2 linked regions of the Daphnia pulex genome follow. The protein of the gene in region 2 purifies or fractionates together with the protein of the main gene of each other region. This does not show direct contact. Links are inferred from orthologs where the notes say so. Each region holds a gene or a part of one and is shown on either strand. Other genes may lie near its edges.

Region 1 (7,689 bases), on a different chromosome or scaffold from region 2:
AATATTGTTTTTCTATTTACATCATATTGGCAATTATTTCAAAGATAAGATAATTTACAGCTTTTTTTGCTACCCAAATTTTTATCATTGGATTATTTGGTTAACTTATTTACCTCTAGTTGCACATGTGTATAAGTGTCTCATAACAACTCTGAACATGCCATAATATTAACTGTGTTTAACATGTGGTTTGATATGTCTTTCCAGAAATTGCAGCTCAAGTTCAGGAAATCCAGTCAAGGAGCAAGGTAGATATATCTGAAAAAGATCGCATCGGATTTGGCGAATCAGGCATTTTTGATTCAGAAATCTACGGTGAAGTTCAAAGTCGATTTGATGGATATGTAACTTCAATTGCCACAACTGATGAAGTTGAAGAAGAAGATTATGATGGAGCAGTTGCCACTGGAGGCAGGCAAACTTTCACAGCACCAGCTGCGATTCTCAATGAAGTGGCAGGAGAAGACTTTGACCCATTTGCTGAACATCGCAGACCAACTATTGCTGACAGAGAAGATGAATACAGAGCAAAGCGTCGGAAGTTGATTATTTCCCCAGAACGTGTTGATCCATTTGCTGAAGGTAAATTTAATATTTTTTATTCATTTTAGTATACTTGCTTGTTGTAATGCAAAGTGGAACACATTATTCAATTTAATCTTATTTTAGAATTAAGAACATCTGTGATTGTGAAGTAAACTCTTTTTGTTTATCTATATTCTCATGTCGTGACCCAATGGCAAATTAAAAGAGTGCCATAGCAACCAGTTAAGTTAAGAGCTCTTGGAGGTGAGTAATCTAAGGCTCTCAAAGGGGAATTGTTACAAGAAACTATTAAGGATACTAGAAGCCAATATTAACCTAGAACAAGCTACTTAATTATAGGTGGATTATTCACTTGTGGGCCAGGAGCTGATCTGCTCAAATTCCCCTTCCGTAATCATCACCACGTATGTATTTGTAACTTCTTGTGGGCGAAGAAACTGGTTTAAGAGTTTTTTCTACTTCCGTCGCTCACAGGGAGTTTGGGTCTCGACTGCCAATTTTTTCTTTAAATTTCGATTACAAAATCTTCCTTACTTTGAATAATAACCCATTTTCCTTTTTTATATTGCTATTCTGTGCAGGCGGTAAAACCCCAGACGTTGGATCTCGCACTTACGCTCATATTATTCGTGAACAACAGTTGCGCGCAGAAGAGCAAGAGGTAATGACAATGGATAATTTATGGTGTAGTTGAGATTATACATGTAATCATTTGTATTCATTTCTAGGTCCGCCGGAAGCTTGCCGACAAAGCTAAGGATGGTACCTTAAAAGCTGTAACGGTACCATCAAACGGCGAATCAAATGAAGCGCCACGGAAACGTGCAGCCCGTTGGGATCAAACAGGTGAAGGTGACACAGGTCCTGCTGCCACTCCAGTTGCAGCACCAACTGTTCCTACGGTAAAGAAGAAAACCTGGGAAGTGGAAACGCCAGCAGTAGCTCGTTGGGATGAAACTCCTTCTCGCTCCAAAGGCTCTGAAACCCCGGCAGCTGGAGGTGTTACCCCTGGAAGTCGTCTGTGGGATGCTACGCCGGGAAATGACGACTCCCGCAAACGGAATCGCTGGGACGAAACACCGAAAACTGAAAGAGCCGGCGAATTTACTCCTGGTTTTGGTTCTGGTTGGGCTGAGACACCACGGACAGATCGTGGAGGAGACACAATCCAGGAGACACCAACTCCTTCGGCATCGAAACGTCGCAGCCGTTGGGATGAAACACCAGCTAATTCCAGTGCGACACCGTCTGGTGGAATGACTCCGCAAACTCCTTCACTATCTGGAGCTATGACTCCAAGAATGACACCGGGTGGAGCTACTCCAATCGGACAAAAAGCTATGGCCATGGCTACCCCAACTCCAGGACACCTTGTTACCATGACTCCTGAACAACTACAAGTAATCAGTGCATTATCCGTTTTGATGTTCAATATGTAACCCACAATGAAATTTATCGAAATAGGCATACCGATGGGAAAGAGAAATCGACGAAAGAAACCGCCCAATTGGAGATGATGAACTAGACGGGATGTTTCCAGAAGGCTACAAGGTCCTGCCTCCTCCAGCTGGATACATTCCTCTACGTACCCCGGCGCGCAAATTAACTGCAACTCCCACTCCATTAGCTGGGGCCAATTCGGGATTCTACATGCAACAAGAAGATAAAACTGCCTCAAAATACATGGACACACAACCCAAAGGCGGTAACTTGCCCTTTTTGAAGCCAGAAGATGCCCAATATTTTGACAAGCTATTGGTAATTATACTTAACTATTTCTTTTAAGTAAAATTAAAAAGTTTTTACTCTATTATTTTGCAGATTGATGTTGATGAAGATTCATTGAGCCCAGAAGAGCTTAAAGAACGAAAAATCATGACTCTTTTACTTAAAATCAAGAACGGTACCCCACCTATGCGTAAATCTGCATTAAGACAAATCACTGATAAGGTAAACTGATATATATTATTTTAAAGTAATTGTATCTTCAAACTGCGTTTATGTTTTTCAATAGGCTAGAGAATTCGGAGCTGGTCCACTTTTCAATCAGATCCTTCCTTTATTGATGTCTCCTACCCTTGAAGACCAAGAGCGACATTTGCTCGTTAAAGTTATCGATCGCATTCTCTACAAATTGGATGATCTAGTGCGTCCATACGTCCACAAAATCCTTGTCGTTATTGAACCGCTGCTAATCGACGAAGACTATTATGCTCGTGTTGAAGGTCGAGAAATCATCTCTAATTTAGCCAAAGCAGCTGGTTTAGCAACTATGATTTCTACCATGAGACCTGATATCGATAACATTGATGAATATGTTCGTAACACTACTGCAAGAGCTTTTGCTGTGGTAGCTTCTGCACTGGGAATTCCTTCCCTTCTTCCCTTTCTAAAGGTATATAGTTTGTTTCAGTTTTAAGATGGGCTTGTTCTTATCTATTATTTTTATTTTAGGCCGTTTGCAAGAGTAAAAAGTCATGGCAAGCTCGCCATACTGGCATCAAAATCGTCCAACAAATTGCTATTCTTATGGGATGTGCTATTTTACCTCACTTGCGAAATCTGGTTGAGATCATTGAACATGGATTGGTAGATGAGCAACAGAAAGTGCGCACCATCACTGCCTTGTCCATTGCTGCGCTGGCAGAAGCCGCGACTCCGTACGGTATTGAGAGCTTTGACTCTGTTTTAAAACCGTTGTGGAAGGGTATAAGAACTCATCGTGGTAAGGGATTGGCTGCTTTCCTTAAGGTATGTTAATTGAAAGTAAAATATTATCCTGCATACTGTAATATTATTTGTTTAAAAAAAATAGGCTATTGGCTATTTGATTCCTCTCATGGATGCCGAATACGCCAATTATTACACTCGCGAAGTGATGTTAATTTTAATTCGCGAGTTTCAGTCACCTGACGAAGAAATGAAAAAGATTGTACTTAAAGTGGTGAAACAGTGTTGCGCAACTGACGGTGTGGAACCTCAGTATATTAAAACAGAAATTTTGCCACATTTCTTCAAAAGTTTCTGGAATCATAGAATGGCATTAGATAGACGTAACTATCGCCAGCTAGTTGACACAACAGTTGAAATCGCTAATCGTGTTGGTGCAGCGGAAATTATTGGCCGAGTGGTTGACGATTTAAAGGTTTTATTCATTTTCATTATTTATAATTCAGTGACAGTCAAATAACATGTTGAATATTTTTCCTAACAGGACGAAAATGAACAATACCGGAAAATGGTTATGGAAACGGTCGAAAAGATCATGGGTAATCTTGGTGCCGCTGATATCGACGCTCGCTTGGAAGAGCAGCTCATCGACGGTATTCTCTACGCATTTCAGGAACAAACGACTGAAGATGTTGTGATGCTAAATGGATTCGGTACAATCGTGAACTCACTTTCCAAACGAGTTAAACCTTATTTGCCACAAATTTGTGGTACTATTTTATGGCGTTTGAACAACAAATCAGCAAAAGTAATGTTATACAACTTTTATTTGTAAACGTTCGTTTTAATATAATGATTTTTATTCCATAGGTTCGGCAACAAGCTGCTGATTTGATTAGCCGTATTGCAGCAGTAATGAAAACTTGTCAGGAAGAAAAGCTCATGGGGCATCTGGGAGTTGTTCTCTATGAATATCTTGGCGAAGAGTACCCTGAAGTTCTTGGGTCTATTTTAGCTGCTCTTAAAGCTATTGTTAACGTAATTGGCATGCACAAGATGACACCGCCAATCAAAGATTTACTTCCCCGATTAACACCTATTTTGAAGGTTCGCTTTTTTAACATATCAGTAATTTATTTTTCTTATTGTGGTTTTATTATCATTTTAGAATCGGCATGAAAAAGTACAGGAAAATTGCATCGATTTGGTTGGGCGTATTGCCGATCGTGGGCCAGAGTACGTTTCAGCTCGAGAGTGGATGCGCATTTGTTTTGAGCTTTTAGAACTCTTGAAAGCACACAAGAAAGCCATTCGACGAGCTACAGTCAACACTTTTGGTTATATCGCCAAAGCAATTGGTGAGACCGAAATTGTCATGGTTATTATGTACAATATAATTATTTATTTTTCAACAACAAATTTCAGGCCCACACGATGTATTGGCTACACTGCTTAATAATTTGAAGGTACAGGAGCGCCAAAATCGTGTTTGTACAACCGTTGCCATTGCAATTGTGGCTGAAACTTGTTCGCCCTTCACCGTCCTCCCTGGTCTTATGAACGAATATAGAGTCCCGGAACTTAATGTTCAAAATGGTGTTTTGAAGTCGATGTCATTCTTGTTCGAGTACATTGGCGAGATGGGGAAGGATTACATTTATTCAGTTACATCGCTCTTAGAAGACGCTTTGATGGATCGGTAAGTTTCTAGTTATTTTGAATTTATGATTAATTAGTTAATGAAGCACATCTGTTTATTTTAGTGACCTGGTCCATCGTCAAACTGCTTGTGCAGCCATCAAGCACATGGCTTTGGGTGTTTTCGGCTTTGGTTGTGAAGATGCCCTCACACACCTGTTGAACTACGTTTGGCCCAATATTTTTGAAACATCCCCTCATTTGGTTCAAGCTTTTATGGATGCTGTGGAGGGTATGAGAGTAGCCCTGGGCCCTATTAAAGTCTTACAATACGCACTGCAGGTAACTTAATTATTTGATTGAATTAGAATTTCAGTTTTAAACCATTTTCTTTTCTATATAGGGTCTGTTTCATCCGGCCCGGAAAGTTCGTGACGTGTATTGGAAGATTTACAACTCACTATACATCGGCGGTCAAGATTCACTGGTGTGTGGGTACCCTCGAGTGTCCAACGAAGGGAAAAACACTTTTAATCGTTATGAACTCGATTATGTATTGTAATTCACTTTCTGTACTACATTTTTACACAAGTTTCATGTACTGATTTCATTAAAAATAAACTCACTTGAGCCGTCGCAATTCGTGTAATGTCATCAAATTTAGATACAATATTATTTAACATTTCAATTTAGCTAGTGATTATTGATTAAGTCATTAGGCGTGTGTAGATAACATCTGTGGCCTTTGACCATTAATTGACGCTGGTCCGTAACGTCTCCTAGCCTCTGTCAAAAATGCAGTAACCATTTGCCTAACAACCTGATCAAAAAAAACATGTGACAGTTGAGAGTGAAGTACAGACCGAAATTCAAAGGAAATGGAAAAATCCAATGTGCAACTTTTAGGATTTCCCTTTAGTCCAGGACTGAATTTCCAAATAGTAAGAAGATGGTTGAATAGCTTCCCTTCTGAACACACAGACTTCACCATGTTTGGTGGGGTAAGCATGACACTGCTTGTATAGCTTTCTACTAACAAAGGAGGAAAGCCAATTGCTAAATCAGCTCTAAGATGACCAGTAGTTCGTGAGGTAACTACAGAGCTTTTGCAATATGGAACAAAATTTTTGTAATTCTCCACCTCGGCCACAACATTGTACATTTGTTCCATTGAATACCTAGAAAGTTCATTTTTAATTTCTATTGCAAAATTAATTTGTTTTATATTACCCCAACAACCTTCTTTCAGAATAGTCTTTTCTTTTGTTTCCAATTCCTAGTCCAGGCAACTGAAAACCACGACTAGGAATAGCTAGGTCAATTGCTCCATAACTTGAGTTACTTGACGAAACTACTCTTGGACAAGCAGAATGGCTTCCAGTATATTGTAATGCACTACATTGAATTACAGTTAACTTCCTGCATAAAAGAGAGGTTACACAATGTAATCCAAACTGTATGAAGAGATTAAAGATTATTTACCTAGATAAGGTAATGAAATTTCTATGCGCATGAAACATCTTGCACCAGCTACGACGAGCGGGTCTTGCAATGGCAATGAAAGGCAGCGTGAAACTTGACATTTCTAGTATTAGAAATGATTGAAATCAATCCGAATTTTTTACTCCATCATACCGAATTGATTGAATAACATAAAAACATATGAATGGTTGCAGACGACTTCGCAAGAGTTATCTTAGTGAAAAGTGATTTCAGGCATTGCCGGTTTTCTCTTTTTTCTTGGCGTTAAAAGCGCCCCCCCCCCCCCCATCCTGAACCATTTATTTGAATTTTTGAGCGTTTTTAATGGTATTTATTTGTGGTATCAGAGATGAAGTGAGCTTTTAGGATTTGACTGCCGAATATTTTTAGGCAACGAGTTTTTAAAAGTGGAAGAGGTTATCAAAAGCGTATCCGGACTCTTTAAATAAAAAACAAATATAAAAAAAGGAAGGAGAATGAGGTTATAGCTAATGTCTGCTGCAGGCAATTTTTTTATCTACTATATCTAGCGGATTCAGTGACCGTTAAGCGGGCATTGACGGCACGCATAAATACGGTTACACTTATAGATCTTCAGAATCTTTCAGCTATCAAGACGTGGCAGTGGCGCACAGCAGTTGGAAAGTACAAACCTTAAGTTTTTGCTAGGTATAAGTGAATTGCTGAAATTGTGTGTTTTGTCTATGTTATTGTACGAATGTGAAGAACTGTCTTGATAAATTCCGTACACATCTCAATCACAATAATAATTTTTTTAAGTCGTGGAAAGAAAAGGTAAAGAACAAATATCTCACATTGGTTCAAATACCTGTGGTTAGTACAGCTTTCTTATAAAGCTTCCTTTTCGATTAAATAATTAGCTATAACACCCCTTCTTATTTTTTTCTTCATGTGAATTGTGATCCATTATTCTACTAAATTTCTTTTTTTTTTCGAAGGCCTTAAAAACTGGGGGAAATATTTGTTTTCGAGAGATGTTTACAAGTTTGGAGACCTAATTCATAGAGCAATCGGGTAAATTGGTCCGAGGGAAGAATAGAGAGATGAAAATATGGGTCCCCCTTTTTCATACGCCAAATTTTCAAGGAAAAACAAAATATAAAATTGTTCAATTGAAAAGGAAGCTCCATAAGAAAGTTGTACATAATCATATGCATACTGTATGCTTTATTCATTTTGAGCCCATTTGAGATTTTGGCCTTTTCCACACTTGGCAGCGCAGCGTCCGTTCGTGGTCTATAGACTATAGCCCAGTAACAGATGCTGAGTGCAGTGCAACTTACAAATTCTATGCTTAAAAAACAAACAAACAAACAAAAAAAAACAGTAGTA
Region 2 (7,956 bases):
TCCAAGTATAGCCTACATTTTTTCTGCAAAATCAAAGTGATCATTAACATAGCGATGTGGCAAATGAGAGAGCAATTGGTTGAAATAACCAGGAAGTAACAATGCAAACGAACAACGGAATAAAATTAGTGAAAACCATTGTTAAGGTAAACGGAAACCTGGTTTTTGTTATCGGAGAAAATGTGGTTGATTACAAAACTATCGCTGAACTGAAAAAACTCTGATTTACATGGAGATATACTAGTGTTGAATATATAAGGAATAAGGAATAGCACATGCTCTGCATATGCTATTGACGTTATGCGTCAGCGTGCGTCAGTGAACGGAATCGAATCCGTTCTCCAGCATCACTTGAGATTCATTTTCTTGTTCCACAGGAAAGGGATACGTTCACGATCACTGGTGATGACTGTTGTTGTGTTCAATCTGTTGCAAGAATAGTAGGCTACTAGTCATGGGTGGTTTGTGGATAGAAAAGACCGCAAAGGAATTTAAATTAATAGAACTTCCAGAAAATTGAAAAAGATATTAAAAAAAAACTACGTGCAAGAGGTTAAAGTATTTAGCGCTAGGTGGAGAAAATCAAGGACCTTTGCAACTGACATGAAAAATAATCTGAAATAAACTAAAACTTAAAAAATTTAACAGCTTTTACAAAGCCTTGTTTTAGCCCAATGAATCAATAAATAAATAATCATTAACAAGAATGACAGCCGGCATAGAAATTGTCGAAGTGTCCTTATCATATACCATGCATATACCATAGGCATAGGCTGCACTATGTGGGGGCGGGGCGGCCGGGCGGGGTAAGCTGGACTGCTGGAGCCGGAGAGGGAAAGAACGTTGTATCGTACCACCTGTTGTTATGAATTTTGATTTAGTTTAAGCACAATTTTTTCAACTCTACAGTGTTGTTATCTCAGTACTTAAGGGCATTTCCACATTTTTATAATGGCAAAAAAATCGCTTTCCTCAAATCGTTTGGACTACGATTATTTGTTTAAATTTTTAGCTTTAGGTATGAACCCTTTAACAAATTATCAAGTAAATAGCAATGTTAACAAACTTTTTATCTAGGAAATGCTGGAGTTGGGAAAACAAGTAAATCATTGGCTTTGTTAAATATTCAAAATTTCTAAGTTTTCCTTTGGCCAGGTTTTCTGTATCAGTATACAGATGGTGTGTTCAATTCAAAGTTTACAACAACTGTTGGAATAGATTTTCGGGAAAAACGTGTTGTATACCGTGCAAAAAACTCAGAGGGAATGCAAGGCAGAAGCCAAAGAATTCATTTACAGTTATGGGTAATACCACAATAAAATAATTTCTGTGAAATATATAGATTAATTTTCTGTACTCACCATAGGATACTGCAGGCCAAGAGAGGTACATTCAGTTTTATATTCTTATCTAGTTTCAAATAACTTATTCATATTTGTTTGGTTTGGTAATTAGATTTCGAAGTCTTACCACTGCATTTTTTAGAGACTCAATGGGATTTTTATTGCTGTTTGATTTAACTAATGAACAGTCCTTTCTATCTATACGAAGCTGGTTAGAGCAATTAAAGGTAATTACATTTAGAAAATACATTTGCTGGATAACCACATGTCATCAGAAAAAACTTGTATATATTACAAATGGTAATTTTTCTGATGAACTGGTTTTATTGTGGATATTTAATGACTTATATTATTTTGAAGACTCATGCTTATACAGACAATCCTGATATAGTTCTTTGTGGAAACAAAGCTGATCTTGATGATCAAAGAGAAGTTTCTGAAGAAGATGCTAAAGAGACGGCATCTCGATACGGGTTAGTAACTCACGTCTGGTCATATTTTAAACAGCTAGAAAAAAATTAAAAAAAAAAAAGCCAATCTTCCAATCAGTTAGAAAAAGTTTATTAACAACATTAGCTTGGTCATTTTAAAATACTGAGTTGAAAAAGGATTATAAAATGTTCCTTAGTTTGTTCCTTTAAGTATTGATCTCATACAAATTTGTATTACTTGCAGTTACTGTGAATGAAGCATATTTTTCAAATTTATATTAGAATGTTATAAATCCATACTGCTAATTGATACTTTGATTAAACAGGTTATCCTATCTTGAAACATCTGCTGCAACTGGTCAAAATGTTAACATTGCTGTAGAACTTCTTCTGGAAAAGGTTATGCTTAGAATGGATCAAGCTGTTGAAGATACATTTGGTACTGGCCAAAAAGGGAAAACCATACAGTTGAAGGTATATCCTAACTGCTTGAATATATCCATCATTCAATTAAAATATAATTGCTTACATTTTTTTAGCAGAACTCTCCGGATGGTAGTCAGGGATGCGCATGTTGAATATTTTTCCGTCATTTTTGTTGAATTAAATGTTCATTGTGCTATTTGTAGAATTCAGTGTGATAAAGCTTTATTGTTGACAATTTTGTAACAGTTACTTTTCTCACGTCAATTTTAATATTATTTGCTGTGTTCATTCTAGTCCAATGAAAAATAATAAAACTTCCCACAAATGTAAATATACTTTTAAGTTTTATTCCAAGAAAACTTTAAGATTTAATTGCTTTACAATGGACAACTGTATATGTTGATGGATCTGTCATCTGAAACTGATGCAATGTGTTCCCCATCTCCATTGAAGCAAACACTCCATACCTAGCGGGGGGGGGGGGAAACAAATTGTCTTAGTTTACATTTTTTTTTTTTTTTTTTTATTATTGCATAACTACCTGGTCGGTATGATCCGTAAATGTGTGAAGGCATTGCTTCGCCTTCATATCCCATATTTTGACTGTTCGATCAGAACTTCCAGATACGAAACGTGAGTTGTCAGGTGAAACTGAAACACTGAGCACCCACGAACCGTGACCGGAAACCGTTCCCGCTAACTGAGCATGTTGACTAAAGGAGACCAAATTATTATATTACAAAACCTCACCAATCTAATCAAATAAAACAGGGAATATTTTTTTTTACACATCATAAATTTTGATTTGTCCATCATCTGAAGCTGTTAATAACAACTGGGAATTTTGAGAGAAACATAGTGATCTCACTGGTAAGGCATGACCTTATAGATGTAAAATGATTGATTACTTGTTAACTTAAAATTTGTATAAGGTTAAAATGAACCTTCCAATGTGTGTACTAATTTTCCTGTTGCAATGTCAAATACATTAATTATGCCATCCATTGCTCCACTGGCAACAAACTTCATATCAGGACTCTGGAATACAAATAAAAAGTTCAAGTTTTGATAAAATGTTCATAGATAAACTTGGATGATCTCACTTACACATGCAATGCTCAAAGTAAATTTGCCTCGAGTGTCATAGGACTGATGAGGTTTACCAGTGTCTACATTATACCAGTTGATCTTTCCAGCATGACTTCCAGATATTATATACTTTGAATCAGGTGTGAACATAACACTCCACACATCAACAGGCCCTGCTTCTATGGTTTGCTTTTTTTCACCACTTTGAAGTTCCCAAATGCGAACAAATGAATCTAAAGAACTTGTAGCTATTACTGCAAATAGAAAAGTTTTGAAATCAGCCAGTGAACCACAGAGAACAATTCAGTACTTTCAATGTCACAGAAGTAAAGATAAACTTTGATCAAATAAAACATAAAAAAATGATAAATACTCACATTTTCCATCAAAGCTTGTGTCCACAGAGACTACTCCAAGAGCATGACCCTCCAATCGGTGGCGAAGCTCTAGCTGATCATTTCTCCAAGCCCATACTTTTACAGCATCATCAATTCCTCCTGTCACAACATAATCTGACTCTTCCGGGCCTCTAGAGATTGAATCAGATGATAATAGTAAATAATTGAAAAATTCATGTAATATTATTTAAGTGTGACTGCTGCTTACACTTCAGCTTTGCTAGTCCAAGAACAACTCCAAATTCCCTCGTCATGTGCAGCTTCTTTCTTATGAGCCAATGTATACTGAAAGGGGAATAACATTTAAATCATTGTGAACAAAACTGCTACTAAGTAACTATTTAACCATCGAACCATTTTTAATGAAGGAATTGAGTCGTGAACAGAAACAAACACAAGTTAAATTTTGAGATAAAATAAGAGTTATATATCTTTACAGGCCAGAAAATGTACGCAAAACAATGTCACGTTAACAGAGCCATCTAATGAGAATACTTCACTTCTTACTTACTTTTCTTCTTACTTTTATCCTGGTTCACTTTGGTTGTTAAATTTGCTCTTTTTTCAACCGGATAAAATATTAATGTAGGATCCTTATTTAGAAGAGGCATATTATAAACTACAAATTTTTTAACGTCGTTACGTTGTGAGTCCACCACTCAGAGAGGACAAAATTCGGGGGTTTTAAGGGATTTAATTGTTTGGGAAACGGTGGCTAGGCGCTAGGCATCGCAGCCAGTCCCCGAATAACCTATTTTATTCAGAATTTTACGGAAAACCGAATGGTGCAATCCGCGATTTTATAGCTGCCATAGTTTTTTTTAGATTTTTAAGAAAATCTAAGTGGCCCATCAGAAATTGTAGAGGTTTTTCGTTTTTTTTTGCATCAGTTATCGGGCAAACCAGAACCAGACCGTTAAAAAAAACCTATTTTTTCAGAATAAAAGATTTTACCCCCTTTACAGTAGTGTTTCACTCGTTTAAATAACGACAACGAAAATAACGTATTAACGAGCCTCGTTATCGACTTTTTTGGAAAATGCTCGTTTTTTTCGTTAACGATAACGAAATGGCTGTTTTTTTCGTTGTTTTCGTTAATTTCTTGCTAAATTTTTCGTATCAAAACCGTAGAGATTTCAAATTTTTTTACCACCAGGGGGAACTTTTTTTCCCCTCAAAATTTGAAATTTTCAATTTTGGGATGACCGACTTAGCGATCCCCTAGCGAGGAATTAGGTCATTATTTTCGCTACATCATTTGGCCTAACAGGCCTTAGAAAACTAGGTTCTAAAAAAAATTTTAAGGTAAACGATAACGGTCGCAAAAAGAGAAAAATGCGACACGTTTAAATTAACGAAACGAAGAACGAAACGAATGAAAAATTGAAAAATAACGATTAACGATAACGATAACGAATCCAAAAAAGCACAACGGTGAAACACTACTTTACAGAACTCTCACCCCGTTTTCCGATTTGAACTTTATTAGCAGAGAAATTAATGATTGGAAAAATTTACGTCATTTCCTAACGATTTTCGACATCATCCCATTTCCCCGTCACGTCATCTAGCGGCCGATTTTGAAAAGGCTTGGGCAAATTTTTCTCCCGGCTATTTAGAGTTGTTTCAAAAATAAATTAACAATCATACAGTAACTACCTAAAGTTTCCGCACAGCTGAGAGTGGCTGAGAGAAGCTTATGGGAAAACATTAAAGTTTTATTTCATCGCAAAAAATCATGTTTTCGTCCGACAAAAACGATGTTTGGACTGGGGGTTCTTAGCTCTAAGTTTTATAACATACATTTTTTTTTGTTTTTGTTTACGGGAAGGGCCCTTTTAAAATGGAATGAAAAGTTTCCGCACAGTCAAGAGGGCCGGTAGCAAATCGAACTACTTTGGCTTTCTTTTACGGGACGGAAAATAGGGCTAAAGGAGGATTCATTAGGGCTTAAACAAAGAACATCGTTGGTTCTATAACCTCATGCATAATTTTGACCAGCGCATGAGGGGTGGGGATGTGGGGTGTAGTGGATAAGAGCGTCAACGCTTTGGAAAAAAGGCAATGAGGCTCTGGTTTCGAACCCCAGCTGAACCCGTCTTAAACTGTAGCAGTCGCGCCGTGGAAAAAGGCAGCACGCATAACACAGGATCCTTAATTGCTTTCAAGGACGTTAAACATACGGTGATGTGTTTAATCACATCTTACAAATTGGAAACGAAACAGCGTCATTAGATCGGATTAGAAATCATGCGTAGTGCGCTATATAAATTGATACATACATACATGTCATATGAGAAATCACTAGAAAATGGCAATTTTTCATTTCCAAGATGTTTCACCTTTGTTACCCCCTCCCATAGATGGCAATTTTCCAAAATCGGATCGACATTTAAATCGATATTTAAAAGATGGTCTTAGTGATAACAGCTGTTATTTTTCTAACCCTGCCTCTAACATTTAAAATCTCGGTATTTCTAAGCCGCTCTCTGCTGTGCGGAAACTTTAGGTTATAGAAATTTCCCTATGCCTTTTTACTATTTATAATTGTAAATTTATTTTGTTTAAAGTCAGATTTTTGGCCTATTCAAATTATTTATCTTTAAAGAGGTTACAGTTTGCACGGGAGGCTAGGAATTGCAATTCTGAGTGTTCCGGAAGCTAGCCAAGATTCAGTAAGTAAGGCAGACAGGTGCGTTTCACAAGGGCTGCAGCAATTGCGTGGTGCCTAGCCAAATCAAAAAGTTATTGAAGTCTAGGATTGCAGAGGCACAAAATTTTGAGTCCAGGAATGTGCATTCAATGAGAGAGACAAGAGAATAGGTTGCTGGATTTTTTGGTTGATCTGTTTTCCCTTAAATCGTGTTGACATGAGCTGAATCAATTTAGTTTTGGCTAGCCATCAGAGACATCCAACAACTATCTTCTAGAGGAGATTGAAAATGTTGGATACTAAAATAATCGATCTGAAGCTATTTAAAATTGAGCTATCCAGTTTTATGGGTTCGCTTAAGACTGAAACCTTTGAGCATTTCCAAAAGTCAGGAAAGAAACAAAGAAGCGAGCATGCATTAAGAATTAAATACCAATAGGTAAGGTTTTACTACCGGGAGAAGGACGGCTGCATACCTTGCCAGGCAACCAGAAAGTTACACCTTAATGCTCGCAAAACCTTATTTACGATTTTCTCTTGTGAGAAGAGCCTGATCATCAGCAATGACTTCCTCTTTGTCTCCGTTAACAAAAAATTCTTCCGTTACTTGAAGTCTGCTTTCTAGGTCTCATATTAGACCAAAATCTGAAATGGAATAAACAATAATAAGTGAAAACTGCAATAACCAAACCAGCTACGTTATGTATCCGTAAAGCTTTGCGGTTCGACTGCAATCGCATGCGGTTTGCTTAATCTTCCGTGGTCAAAACCAATTTTTTCCTAGGGGTGCTCAATCTGAATTTCCGAGGTGAATTTCAAAGCGTGTGTGAAACTGCAATCGTCCCAGCATTAAATGTGCCGCATGATTGCTGGATCTTTTAAGACTGCCTCCATTTTTTCCCTCATTCTTTTGTCTAATGTTGCGACGAGAAAAGCGCGTATTATCTCTGCCGCTTGGATGCACTTCAAATAACGTCAAGCGCAATTTCCACCCCTTCCCTACCAAAGCTTTGTGTAAATTCGTCTGTCGTTTTCTTGTGACGTAAAACCCACGCTTATTTAACTCGCGAACAAGCTAGTTATGTAAATCCAGCACGAATTTTCTGTGTTCTGTGCTTCATATCTTTTTGTGACAAAGTTTTGTAGATTTATGTTAATTTACTGTATGTATAATTTTTAATGTGCTGTTCTCCTAGTTTTCTGATTTGCTCTGTCCTGCTTTACCTGTCTGGACAGCCTATTTATTTGTTGATTTTTCCTGGCTGGGTAATTATTATCCCTGAGGTATATTTATATACGAAGGTCCTTAACAATATAGGGTGCGGGGTATAGGGGGTAGGGAAGTAGTAGCTAGTAGTGGAATTCAGAGGGTTTAATGTCCATTTAGTTATCCTTTATACGTTTCTTCCCTGAATGACCAATCGTCACCAAATTTTGTACATAATTCTGTCAAAATTTGATACATGCCCTAACGGGGTTTTCATTTGTTTGTATTACTGCTTTAGAAATTTAATTTGCGTATTTTTTACCTAGCTGGTTGCCGAATCCTAGTTAGTGAATTCGCTTTTTTTGCGTAACCTTCCAACTGTCAGTGCATGCTCAGCAGTGTAAATAAA

The links. The genes of interacting proteins can lie anywhere in the genome.
Region 1: the proteins of WD repeat-containing protein 61-like (region 2) and splicing factor 3B subunit 1-like purify together in Homo sapiens (co-immunoprecipitation; 3 studies listed by BioGRID and IntAct, with this or other methods). This does not show direct contact. The link is inferred for Daphnia pulex from reciprocal best matches to the Homo sapiens genes SKIC8 and SF3B1.

The regions. Positions count from the first base shown.
Region 1 is NC_060027.1:4,646,502-4,654,190, reverse strand, and holds the end of splicing factor 3B subunit 1-like, read left to right. Parts: intron 1-207; coding exon 208-582; intron 583-1,127; coding exon 1,128-1,207; intron 1,208-1,274; coding exon 1,275-1,946; intron 1,947-2,010; coding exon 2,011-2,304; intron 2,305-2,367; coding exon 2,368-2,496; intron 2,497-2,560; coding exon 2,561-2,941; intron 2,942-3,000; coding exon 3,001-3,297; intron 3,298-3,361; coding exon 3,362-3,691; intron 3,692-3,760; coding exon 3,761-4,024; intron 4,025-4,086; coding exon 4,087-4,323; intron 4,324-4,384; coding exon 4,385-4,574; intron 4,575-4,641; coding exon 4,642-4,915; intron 4,916-4,979; coding exon 4,980-5,196; intron 5,197-5,257; coding exon 5,258-5,416; 3' UTR 5,417-5,490; downstream 5,491-7,689. Other genes in the region: coenzyme Q-binding protein COQ10 homolog B, mitochondrial-like, read right to left, coding at 5,570-6,032, 6,085-6,273, 6,337-6,437. UniProt on the Homo sapiens protein: Component of the 17S U2 SnRNP complex of the spliceosome, a large ribonucleoprotein complex that removes introns from transcribed pre-mRNAs.
Region 2 is NC_060021.1:4,226,877-4,234,832, forward strand, and holds WD repeat-containing protein 61-like, read right to left. Parts: upstream 4,157-7,956; 5' UTR 4,045-4,156; coding exon 4,042-4,044; intron 3,973-4,041; coding exon 3,896-3,972; intron 3,819-3,895; coding exon 3,667-3,818; intron 3,544-3,666; coding exon 3,308-3,543; intron 3,239-3,307; coding exon 3,145-3,238; intron 3,083-3,144; coding exon 2,989-3,082; intron 2,914-2,988; coding exon 2,742-2,913; intron 2,668-2,741; coding exon 2,578-2,667; 3' UTR 2,528-2,577; downstream 1-2,527. Other genes in the region: ras-related protein Rab-27A-like, read left to right, coding at 952-1,018, 1,078-1,101, 1,156-1,304, 1,367-1,386, 1,456-1,570, 1,704-1,816, 2,101-2,248, 2,314-2,352. UniProt on the Homo sapiens protein: Component of the PAF1 complex (PAF1C) which has multiple functions during transcription by RNA polymerase II and is implicated in regulation of development and maintenance of embryonic stem cell pluripotency.